3 linked regions of the Macaca fascicularis genome follow. The protein of the gene in region 3 interacts with the protein of the main gene of each other region in a pairwise test. Links are inferred from orthologs where the notes say so. Each region holds a gene or a part of one and is shown on either strand. Other genes may lie near its edges.

Region 1 (3,642 bases), on a different chromosome or scaffold from region 3:
TAATTTTTTGTATTTTTAGTAGAGACGGGGTTTCACCGTGGTCTCGATCTCCTGACCTTGTGATCCGCCCGCCTCGGCCTCCCAAAGTGCTGGGATTACAGGCGTGAGCCACCGCGCCCGGCAAAAAAACTATTAAAAACTTAAAAAGGGGCTGGGCACGGTGGCTCATGCCTGTAATCTCAGCGCTTTGGGAGGCCAAGACGAGTGGATCACCTGAGGTCAGGAGCTCAAGACTAGCCTGGTCAACAAGACAAAACCCCGTCTCTACTAAAAAATACAAAAAATTAGCCGGGTATGGTGGTGGGTGCCAGTAATCCCAGTGACTTAGGAGGCTGAGGCAGGAGAATCACTTGAACCCAGGAGGCAGACGTTGCAGTGAGCCAATATTGTGCCACTGCACTCCAGCCTGGGCAACAGAGAGAGACTCTGTCTCAAAGAAAAAAAAAAAAAAACCTTAAAAAGTAGAGACAGGCATAGTGGCACATGCCTGTAGTCTCACCTACTTAGGAGGCTGAGGCAGGAAGATCATTTGAGCCCAGGAGCTGGAGTCCAGCCTGGGCAACATGGCAAGACCCTGGTTTTTTTTTTTTTTTTTTTTTTTTTTTTTTTTTTTTAAATAAAATAAAACCCAAAACCAAAACAAACAAAAAACCTAAAAGTAAATAACCTCAATTTTTAACAAATTCAATATGGCTTTCATAAAGGAACTGTTGAAAGAGATGATCCAATATTACACAATTATCTGTGGGACTAACTCTTTTTTTTTTTGAAACAGAGTCTTGCTCTGTTACCCAGGCTGGAATGCAGTGGCATGATCTTGGCTCACTGCAACCTCCACCTCCCTGATTCAAGCAATTCTCCTATCTCAGCCTCTTGAGTAGCTGGGATTACAGGTGTGTGCCACCATGCCCAGCTAATTTGGGACTAACTCTTTTTTTTTTTTTTTGAGACAGAGTCTCGCTCTGTCGCCCAGGCTGGAGTGCAGTGGCCGGATCTCGGCTCACTGCAAGCTCCGCCTCCCGGGTTCCCGCCATTCTCCTGGCTCAGCCTCCCGAGTAGCTGGGACTACAGGCGCCGCCACCTCGTCCGGCTAGTTTTTTGTATTTTTTAGTAGAGACGGGGTTTCACCGTGTTAGCCAAGATGGTCTCGATCTCCTGACCTCGTGATCCGCCCGTCTCAGCCTCCCAAAGTGCTGGGATTACAGGCTTGAACCACCGCGCCCGGCTGGGACTAACTCTTTAGAAGGTACTATTACTATAACACTTGAGAGACTAACACCTTTCCCACAGACAATGGGAGGTGGGAAGTTATTGACAGTGTTTTTGGACAAAGCACAAACAAACTGTTCTTTGAACAGGAACCAAAGCTATTAATATGGTAAGCTATTCACCAAAAAATTGTAACCAAGTATCCTTGAAAACAGAATTATTAATAGGACTTTGCCAGATTCTGTTAAAGGTGATCTAAACAAAATACAGAGATACTGGAAGTATGGTAGTCAGGAATAGGAGCAAATTAACATAGATTCGGTATATATTAAATGCCAGTCTCCTTCCATGCCATCGCATTTTATCTTCATTACACCTCTGTAAGAGAGAATTAATTTCTGTGTTTAGAGATGAAAGACTAAGGCTCAGAGAGATAAAGTGTATTAGTGCCCAAGATGACACAGGTAGTCAGTGTGAATCAGGAATTTAAATCTGGTCTAATCTAAAGTTTTTTTTTTTCTTTTTTTTTTTTTAATTATTCTTTCCACTCTATCATACTGTCTTTTTCATATGAAAAAGGTCAGGAACCTGGAAACCTAGACACCCTCGGATACTCTTTTTTTTTTTTTTTTTTTTTTTTTGAGACGGAGTCTCGCTCTGTCGCCCAGGCTGGAGTGCAGTGGCGCGATCTCGGCTCACTACAAGCTCCGCCTCCCGGGTTCACGCCATTCTCCTGCCTCAGCCTCCCGAGTAGCTGGGACTACAGGCGCCCACAACCGCGCCCGGCTAATTTTTTGTATTTTTAGTAGAGACGGGGTTTCACCGTGGTCTCGATCTCCTGACCTTGTGATCCGCCCGCCTCGGCCTCCCAAAGTGCTGGGATTACAGGCGTGAGCCACCGCGCCCGGCCCTCGGATACTCTTTTACTCTATTTCTCAACTGAGCTCTCTGCCCACTCAATGGCACCAGGAGTCCCACCTGCCTGGAATGCCTGTTTCTAGACACACTTCATAATTTCCTGAGACCTGCTCACTCACGTTAAGACGCTTGCTGGCATCATCTGGGACTCGGGTGCTGCCTCTATCAAGGACTGCCAGGTATTTGTGGAGTTAGGGATCACAAAGCCAAACTCGAAGAACCATTCTGAAGGAAGAAGGAAAAGCCGGGGTGAGCAGGTGCCCCAGTATAAAGTTTAAGGGCTCTTTGTCTCCCTCCTCTAGAGTGAGCCTCTTCCTACCCTGAGAACCACCGAAGGAAGCTATCAGCAACCTCTCAGACCAGAGGCATAAAAAAGACAGGGAAGGCTCCTCAGGTTGTCCTCTGAACTACACCAAAGCCTTGCTTCTCATGCTTTGAGGTCTAAAGGACTAGGACCAGTGACCAGGACACAACATAAGCAGCATTTTCTTAGAGGTAGGCTAGATGTGAACTATACATAGATACATAGCTCAATTCTCTTGGACTAGCTTGAAGGGGCTTATGTGCCCTCTTATACTGCATGGTGAGAATTCAATGCAGAGTGGCCAGTCAAATCTGTATGATACTGTATGTAGAGCACTGTACTAGGCCCTGCTCATAGCAGCTTCCTCCATGACCATATCACAATACAATGTCAGTGCCTAAACCAGGTACCACCATCCATGCTCCCAGTGTCAGAGACCTCAAAGCCCCTTGCAGTGGCCAGCTTTGTTTTGGTTTGTTTTCACTGGGGATTCACAGTCTTGCAGAGTGTAGGAATCCTACCACAAACTGAGTTGTAAAAGGAATGTTATCAAAGCACTGCTTTAGTTCACTGGGTATTGTTGCCTTTTGTCCTGGTCCCCCTAAGCCCTGATTTCAGGCATGCAGGCAGCAGAATACCTTCTAGGCATTGCCCTTTGAAGTAAATTTTTTGTTCCAGGCGGAATTTTTCCATTTGTTCTGTTGAAGAAAAATTGAGTTCTCGAGACACGGCCTTGCACTTGAGGATTTTCTTGGGAACACGGGCTGGTAAGAGAAAAACAAATGTTGAAGCCATTCTAAATGAAAACCACATGACTATGATGCTTCAAATTTCTGGGAGCTTCTTATAGCTGATTTAGAGAACACTTTATTACATTTTGGATAATGCTTTGGTAAGTGCACTACACTTTGTGTGGCTGAAAGCAGAGGACTCTAATTGGTCACTCATATCTGAAAAATATTAGATCTTCAAGGAACACCAGGTTTTGTGCATCTAAGGGCCTCATCTAGCTACTCTCATCAGGAAGGGGGCTGCACGGGTACCTTCTCTCTACTCTGTTCTGGTGATTTTAACCCCTTACTTCTTCTTTACTTTAGGGAGATAAAAACGCAAATTTTCTTTTGGAGAAAAAAGTTGAGATCTCAGTTTCTATCTTCGGGTATGTTCTAATGGTAAAATTTCAGCACAAAATGGGTTTTGGGAAGTGGGAG
Region 2 (3,742 bases), on a different chromosome or scaffold from region 3:
GAAGAAGAGGATCTATCTGTCCATTTTCCCCAAACCCCCAGTGGCCTTAACTATTTTGGTGGGATGTTGGAACTTTAGGAAATCTGGACAGACACTCCACGACCCTGGGTCCCTTATGACTCTGACCTGTCAGCCATAAGTCCTAGCAAGGCAGGCGTCGAGGTGAAGGCCCGGTGGGTGGCCAGGAAGGCTGACATGAAAGTCCCATCAGTCCCTGATGTCCGGGTATCCAGTAGGTGTCTGACCAGGGCCTCCAGAGTGCCAGCTCGGAGCCGTCGGGAGGAACGCGGGGGAGGCATAGGGACCTGGAGGACACAAAGAGATGATCACCAACGCTTTCTCCCACTCTGCCCCTAGATTTCTGAGGACAATCCCAGACCCAGGAGATGTTCCAGCCTCATTTTTCTGATATTTAGAGAGGGCAAAAGTCTTGGCCTATGTCATACAGCGGAGTCCAGGACTCCAGAACTCCAACCTAGCACTCTGGCCAGAAAGTCAGCCAGAGGAAGCGAACTGAAGAGTCAGAGGTGAGAAGCTAAAGTCATGATCTCACCAAGGGATCAAGAGGTCGATATTGGCGGCTTGTGATGGTAAACACAGCACCATCCTCCTCCTCATCCCAGACGGACACAGGGGCCTGCAGGAGCAAGGAAGGGGAAGTCAGACAGTTCCATATCACCCCCCACTGCCCTCAGCCTTCACCCCAGGCCCTGCTTCTCCCTCTATACCCCTCACCTGTGGTGGCAGGGCATAGTACCAGCGAGTGCGAGGAAGGGTGGGGGGAGCTGGTGACCCCAGGTCTCCCCCACTGGGGCCCAGACAGCCCCACCCCAGTCGCCTCAGGGCCCCGGTGGAGTCGAAGGGGCTGTAGTGGAGGCGTGGATGGAGTACAGGAATCCTGATCCTGGAGACCCCCAAAGCCCTTTCCCCCCAGAGCTGAACCCACACACGACAGAGAAGCAGGGTACAAAGAGCAGGAGAGGGAAGCGAGAGGCAGCAAGCCAGAGGCAGAGACTAGGAGTAGCTGAAACCTCAGTTCAGGCACTGCCGCATGCCCCGCCCCTCCCGGCCAAGGACTAGACCAGCCCAGAGCTTTAGTCCTTCTCAGGCCCCCTTTCACACTGGTCCCTCGGGTAATGCCTCCACTATCTCAGCCCTAAGGGACCCCTGAAGGTAGCAGCTCCAATCCCAGTCCAGGAAGGAAAAGGGGAAGTGGGATGATGGGGGCTGGGGGGCGGTAGACTCAGAGAGTCACGTGGCCCCAGTCCCTCCCCCGACCGATCCCGAAAAACCAGCCTTGCCAGTCAACCTGCCCTCACTTAGGATCTGGACCTAGGAGTTCAGGGCCTCGGGGCCCCAAATCCAAATTCTGGCCCCTCCTGAGGCCTAAAATCCTGCTCCTGGCCACCACCATTAATCCCTAATGAAAACAGGTAACCACTCTCTACCCACCCTAGGATCATTCCTCCAGGTCCCAGAACCGTGGCTTCCCTGCCTCTACCCAGGATGGGGGGGGGGGGGTAAAGGGGAGGGAGGGAAGGAGGGGTCACGAAATCTGAGGGTTCCCTCCCCAATCCCAGAGTCAGAGGAGCTGGTTACTGTGGAAACAAACCCCTCCCCGCCAAACAAAAACAAGGAGGGAGACAGGGGGCAAGACAAGACTGCTCAGAGAAGTAGGCACACTCAGGCAGGCAGAGGCAGAGGGCCAGAGACCCGCAGGGACAGCCAGCCAGAAGTTCCAGGCAGGTTCCTGCGGGCAGGTCCTGAGTCACACTGACAGAGAACCACAGAGACGCCGGGACTCCCCGCAGCAGAGAAACGGGCCGACGCCCAGGGAGGCGCGAGAATAACTGAGGCAAGGAGGAGGAGATGTAGGGACCCAGAGACAAGAGAAAAGTGGAGACTTCAGAAATACATCCGACCCCTACCTCCCACCACCCGCGTCTCACCTCTTCTTCTTCCTCCTCCTCTTCCTCCTGCCCCCCGCCCACGACCAGGCCACCTGGGCCCCCACCCTCATCGGGGTCCCGGCTTCGGAAGCTGCTCAGTACGACTCCCCCTGGGGGGCTCGTGTCCAAAAGCAGCCGCAGGGGCCGCGGGAGCATGGCCGAGTGAATCAGCGGGGTCGGGCCATGGGGGCGCCTGGGGAGAGACGGGGTGGGGTGGGGGTGGAGAGTCAGGTGGGCGCGGGGGAGCCGGGCAGGGAAGGGACGTGGGTGGGTGTCAAGAAGACCGGAAGGGAATTCTGCAGGAAGGCTGGGGGAGGGAGGCAACAGAAGGGTGAAATAGGGTGGCCCTTGGTGCAGTTGGGGGAGGAGGGGGTCACGAGTACGGGGACGCGCAGGGTGCTCAGGCTCTGACCTGCTCGGGAGGGGTGGGGGCAGCGTGGGTCCTGGGCCGCTGTTGCCGTCGGTCTCCGGCCCCGGACCAAGTCCCCTCCCCGGCTTTTCCGTACCCCCTTGAACCCCTCCCGCTAGGCTCCCGGGCCCCTTCCGCCCTTTCCGCTCCCCCCCGCGTCCGCCCGCTCCGAGAGCAGGAGCCAAAAGGGGAAGGAAGTGAGGACAGGAGCCAGGGCCGCGGACTAGGGGAGCGCCGGACGCTCAGGGACCAGGACCCAGGCGCCCGAGTCCCCAGCTCCACTGTCCTCCGCCTCTACACTCGGGGATTCTGGAGACCACGTCGCTCCGCACTGAACTGGAATAAAGATTCCAATCTCCAGCCCCTGGGGGAAGGCAGGAGCAGAATTTGACATTCCCTTCCCCAACAATAACACGGCTAAAACTCCCGCGGGAAGCGTTTCAGGAGGAGAGAGAGCGGGTCACTCCATCCCCACGGGATTACGCTCCCCACCACAACCCACGAACTCCGCTGACCGAAATCCCGGCCGCGTTTTCCGAAGGGCCCTCGGTTCCCGCCCCCTCGGCAGGGGGCGGGGCAGGAAGCAGCCACATCCGGTTCCAGATTCGGCTCTTTGGGGCTTCCGGCGCCGAGGCAGGCATCCCTGTTGGCTCGGCGTCGCTTTGCGGTTGGAGTGCCCTCCGCTTGAGCGCATCTTATGCGCCAGTAGTGGCGCCCGACCCCGAACGGTGTCGACGGGGCGTTCTCTGAGGGGTTCAAGGTCACTGGAAGGGACCAGAGATGATTGGAATATTCATTTTGCTTGGAAGGGGGTTGGAATGAGAGGCCCGTTTGGAAGCACTGGAATACAACTTTATTCCCACACCATTAGACATGTTACCCCGTCGGTCTGGCCGACAGTCCTGACTCGGAGATCCCTGAGCTGCGCCGCCGCTTCCTTCGTCAATATCCAGCAGCTATTTGATGAGCGCCCTCCAGTGGGGCCTTACGTCCCTATGCCGGCGCGGGGTTACAGCAGTGGACAGACAGGCCGGTCCCTGTCCTCGAGGAGCCCATGATCCGCGGGGAGACAGGCATTTAACGACGACTCACATGATCACTTAAAATACAACTGTGGTGAACCGCACAAGAGGGACGCGCGGCGGTCTGCGGGGAATGACGAGGCCGACCTCGTCTGCGACCCAGGGAGGCCGAGGGTGGACCAGGCAAAGGGAACAGAGGGCTGGGAACTGGAGGTGGGCGGGAGGCGGTTGGTTCATTGGAGGAAAGGAATAGCCCTGTGTGTGATGAGCATTGAGAGGAGGGCTGGCGAGCACCATCTTGGGCTGGAGAATTAGGCAGTGGCTCCAGTGTGGGGCGGTGGGGGGAACACGTGGGCCAGGGC
Region 3 (3,742 bases):
GGGCAGCGCCCCGCGCCCCCGGCGGGGAACCGGGGGCATCTTTCAGCCACAGAAAGCTGGAAAAGACAGAGGGGCTCCTGGGAAGCAGGGGCTGAGCCACAGGAAGGGGCCGAGAGGCGGCGCGGGAGACCCGGAGAGGGGAAGGGCCCTGGGGCTGAGGCCCCCGGCCTCGTCCGCGACCTGTGATGCTGAATCGGGGGTGCCCGGGCGTGCCGTGGCCGCGGCCGCCTCCGCCCAGACGCGCCTGGTTATGAGGGCGCCGGGCCCGAGGCTCCCGGGGACGCCGGCGTGAGGACCGTGCCCAGAGCGAGGCCACGGGCGGGGCCCGGATTCCCGCAGGCCCCAGGGACTAAGGGGCCTCAGCCCGCCCCCGCCAGCCGCAGCCCCCGACGCCCGCTCACCTGTGCCTGGGGGCCCCGCCCGGCCCGGCCCGGCCCCACCCACCCACTACCGCCGCCGCAGCCGCTCACGCCCGCCGGTCCCGCGCCCCCGGCCCGCGCCGCGCGTATGGCTGCCGCCTGGGGGCGGGGAGGGCGCGCGGCCCGGCCGACCCCGGCCCGCACTCACCGCTCAGTGGCGCGACTGCCCCCGGGGCCGGGGCCGAGGCCAGGGGGGGGCGGGGGCGGGGGCGCGCGGTTCTCCCCGCGCATGGGCTCCGTCCGCGGCGGGTGCGGCTGGGGCTGCAGGCGCAGGGAGCGGGCGGCGGAGACTCGGCCGGGCTCGCGCACGCCCCACCCCGCGCCCGTCCGTCAGCCCTGCGCGACCTACCATTGGCCTCGCTACACCAGGCCCCGCCCCGCCCCGGTTGGCTGAGCGGCCCGTCTGTCAGGAGCCGCGGTCGGGCAGGGCTTCCGGGAGCAACGCGGGAGGCGGAGCCAGAAGGGCCGCGGCCTCGGGGGGTTGGGCTAGGCCGGCGAGCGGAGGCAAGCTCGGGGTTGCTCAAGGAGGGCGAGGGAGCAGGTGTCTGGGGGCCTGCGGCGGCATATCCGAGCAGGGCCGTGGACTCTCCCGGGAACAGGCCGGCGAGAGAACCCGACTCAGCGGCGCCCGTGCACTCGAGGCCCTCCCTGCGTCCGCAGCGCGGCGTCGCCCACCGCGGAGGTCCCGGGGCTCCGGCTGAGGAAAGGCTGGGATCCGTCGGGACCAAGGCGGGCCGCTCGGAGCTGGGGGCCCCCGGGTGGCCGCGGGGTCCGGTTGCCCGGCTCCCCTTCCGCGCAGGTGGAGTGGCCCCGCACCCGGACGGTGCGCACCCCGCCTCCTCCGCGCACCCCACCTACCACACGCACCCCAGCTCCCCTACTCCCACCTCAGCCCACCCCGAGGACGCCTTGCAGCTCCGGTGGGGTTTCGAGCGGCGGGCGCAGCCGTGCTCCCTGGGGCCAGGCGTGAGAACGCCCCCTCCACCACTTCTCTTACTTGGGCCTGCGTGGCAGGCGACCCTGCCCGCTCAGTCCCCCCAGACTTGAGGTTCCAACCATGCAGAAGCTCAGCGTGGTGCAGTTAAACGGTACCTACAGGTTGCCACAGGAGAGCGAAGTGCCCAGGGCTCACCCCAAGCACAAAGACCACATCCTAGCTCTTTCAAACCCCAAAAGACGTGTTTTTTTTTTTTTTTTTAACATTTTTTTAAATTGCAAAGGAATCAGAAATACATTCTCATTAAAAAGCAAAAGGGCCATCCTGGCTGACACGGTGAAACCCCGTCTCTACTAAAAAATACAAAAAACTAGCCGGGCGAGGTGGCGGGCGCCTGTAGTCCCAGCTACTTGGGAGGCTGAGGCAGGAGAATGGCGTGAACCCGGGAGGCGGAGCTTGCAGTGAGCTGAGATCCGGCCACTGCACTCCAGCCTGGGTGGCAGAGCGAGACTCCGTCTAAAAAAAAAAAAAAAAAAAAAAAAAAAAAAGCAAAAGGGGCCGGCCGCGGTGGCTCACGCCTATAATCCCAGCACTTTGGGAGGCCTAGGCCGGTGGATTACTTGAGGTCAGGAGTTCAAGACCGGCCTGGCCAACATGATGAAATCCCGTCTCTACTAAAAATGCAAAAAATTAGTCGGCTGCAGTGGCGCGAGCCTGTAGGCCCAACTACTCAGGAGGCTGAGGCAGGAGAATCGCTGGAACCCGGGTGGCGAATGTTGCGGTGAGCCGAGATCGCGCCACTGCACTCCGGCCTGGGTGACAGAGCGCAACTTCGTCTCAAAAAAAAGGCGTTTAAAAGAAAAAAAGGCGTTTTACGGTCAGGCAAACCCTGCCTCTGCCCAACCCAGTGCCCGCCCCGCCGCCACGCCCTCCTGCGCCGGTCGCCGCTGACCCGGGGCTCCACCCACGTGCGGTCCCGGGGGTCCCGCCTGCCGTCCATCCACCGCGCGGTCGCAGTCAGAGCCCGGCTCGGGGCGGACGCGCATGAACGCAGGTGAGAGGCGGCGACTGAACGGCGGGCGGCGGCGTGTCCCACGGGCCGGGCACTCGGGCGCGCTTCGGCATCCGGTCTGTGTTTCCTGGTCCTCCGGGGCGCTTGCCCCGGTGCTTCCTTTTGCTGTCGGCCTCACTTCCAATCGAAGGTCAGGGCGTCAGGCCTCGACCCCAGGGGCGACCCTTCCACGTGGGAAAGGTGGGCGGGAGCCTCCAGCAGAGACCGCCCTTGCCGGCCCCGCGTGGGAAGCGCCGGGATCGCGAGGAAACGCGACACGTGCACCGCGACGGCCCGGGCACGGAGCCGCAGGGAGCTGGCACCTGACGCGCCTGCGCCCACCCGACTTGGTGGCGCGTCACCTCCCCCGGGATCGCCCACCCAAGTGCCAACTCACGTGGCCCCGCCCTAGCGACCGTTGCTAAGGGGCGTGGCTCAGCCCCTCAGAACCCGAGCCTCCTGCGGCTTATAAATATTTGCGTATTCAAATGAGGACCCGCCCACGTTGCCATGGGACCCAGGCCGCAACCCCGCAGCCGGAAGAACAGCCTGGAGTAGGAGACAGCGCCTGGCGGCGGAGGGCGCCCAGGGCCGAGCTGCCAGGGCCGGACACCTGGGCTGAGCCCTCAGGTGAGAGCCGAGCGCACCCTTGGGGTGGGAGCCACAGGCCTCGCCGTATGCCTGGTGGCAGGAGGGAGCCTGCGCCGAGGCGAGGGCGCGGGGACTAAGCAGCACAGCCAACGGGGACCCAGTGGAGGCCCCGCACGTCAGATCTGGTCCCCTGGGGACCCTTGCCTCCACCACCCCCTGGCCCTGCACTGAAGGGGCTCCCTGTCAGGAGGCAGGAGGGGCCCCAAGCCTTGCCCCTGAGGGAGATGCAGAGGCAAGGACCCAGGGTGCTTGGAGTTCCAGGGTGGGGCTCAGCAGGGGAGCGGGCTCTGCCCTCCCAGCGTCCATGGTGAAGGGGCAAGGGCTGCAGGGGACCAGAGGTGATGAGCTACCCACCAGGGAATGGCACTAGCTGGGGTGTGGAGACAGAATTCCTCCAGTTTCCAATTTGGGGAGCATGGGGGCTCGCAGAGGGGACACAGGGTAGGAGCAGGACTGCGAAGTGTGCGGATGGGTTCAGGCCTGGGCGAGAACACCAGGAGCAGTGTCTGAGGTGGGAGTCCAGTGGGGGCTTGGGACTCCACAGCCTCCAACCCCTGGTCCTTGCACCCCTAGGCCTTGGGGCTCAGACCAGCCTGATACTCGGGCTCTTGGGCACAGAGGAGACAAGGGTGGCTGACTCAGCCCTTAGTGCCACCCATAGATGTCCTGGGGCTGCGCATGACC

What was found.
Region 1: the proteins of HRAS (region 3) and PDE6D interact in a two-hybrid assay, tested with the Homo sapiens proteins (2 studies listed by BioGRID). The link is inferred for Macaca fascicularis from reciprocal best matches to the Homo sapiens genes HRAS and PDE6D.
Region 2: the proteins of HRAS (region 3) and RGL2 interact in binary tests that used the Homo sapiens proteins (3 or more experiments, as listed by UniProt). The link is inferred for Macaca fascicularis from reciprocal best matches to the Homo sapiens genes HRAS and RGL2.

The regions. Positions count from the first base shown.
Region 1 is NC_088386.1:127,657,464-127,661,105, forward strand, and holds part of PDE6D (retinal rod rhodopsin-sensitive cGMP 3',5'-cyclic phosphodiesterase subunit delta), read right to left. Parts: intron 3,196-3,642; coding exon 3,070-3,195; intron 2,353-3,069; coding exon 2,247-2,352; intron 1-2,246. UniProt on the Homo sapiens protein: Promotes the release of prenylated target proteins from cellular membranes. Modulates the activity of prenylated or palmitoylated Ras family members by regulating their subcellular location.
Region 2 is NC_088378.1:138,404,178-138,407,919, reverse strand, and holds the start of RGL2 (ral guanine nucleotide dissociation stimulator-like 2), read right to left. Parts: upstream 2,504-3,742; 5' UTR 2,362-2,503; intron 2,143-2,361; 5' UTR 2,106-2,142; coding exon of another isoform or gene 2,021-2,105; coding exon 1,950-2,020; intron 1,500-1,949; exon of another isoform or gene 1,453-1,499; intron 866-1,452; coding exon 736-865; intron 638-735; coding exon 554-637; intron 306-553; coding exon 127-305; intron 1-126. UniProt on the Homo sapiens protein: Probable guanine nucleotide exchange factor. Putative effector of Ras and/or Rap. Associates with the GTP-bound form of Rap 1A and H-Ras in vitro.
Region 3 is NC_088388.1:433,559-437,300, forward strand, and holds the start of HRAS (GTPase HRas), read right to left. Parts: upstream 2,742-3,742; 5' UTR 2,325-2,741; exon of another isoform or gene 2,309-2,324; intron 713-2,308; exon of another isoform or gene 568-712; intron 1-567. UniProt on the Homo sapiens protein: Involved in the activation of Ras protein signal transduction. Ras proteins bind GDP/GTP and possess intrinsic GTPase activity.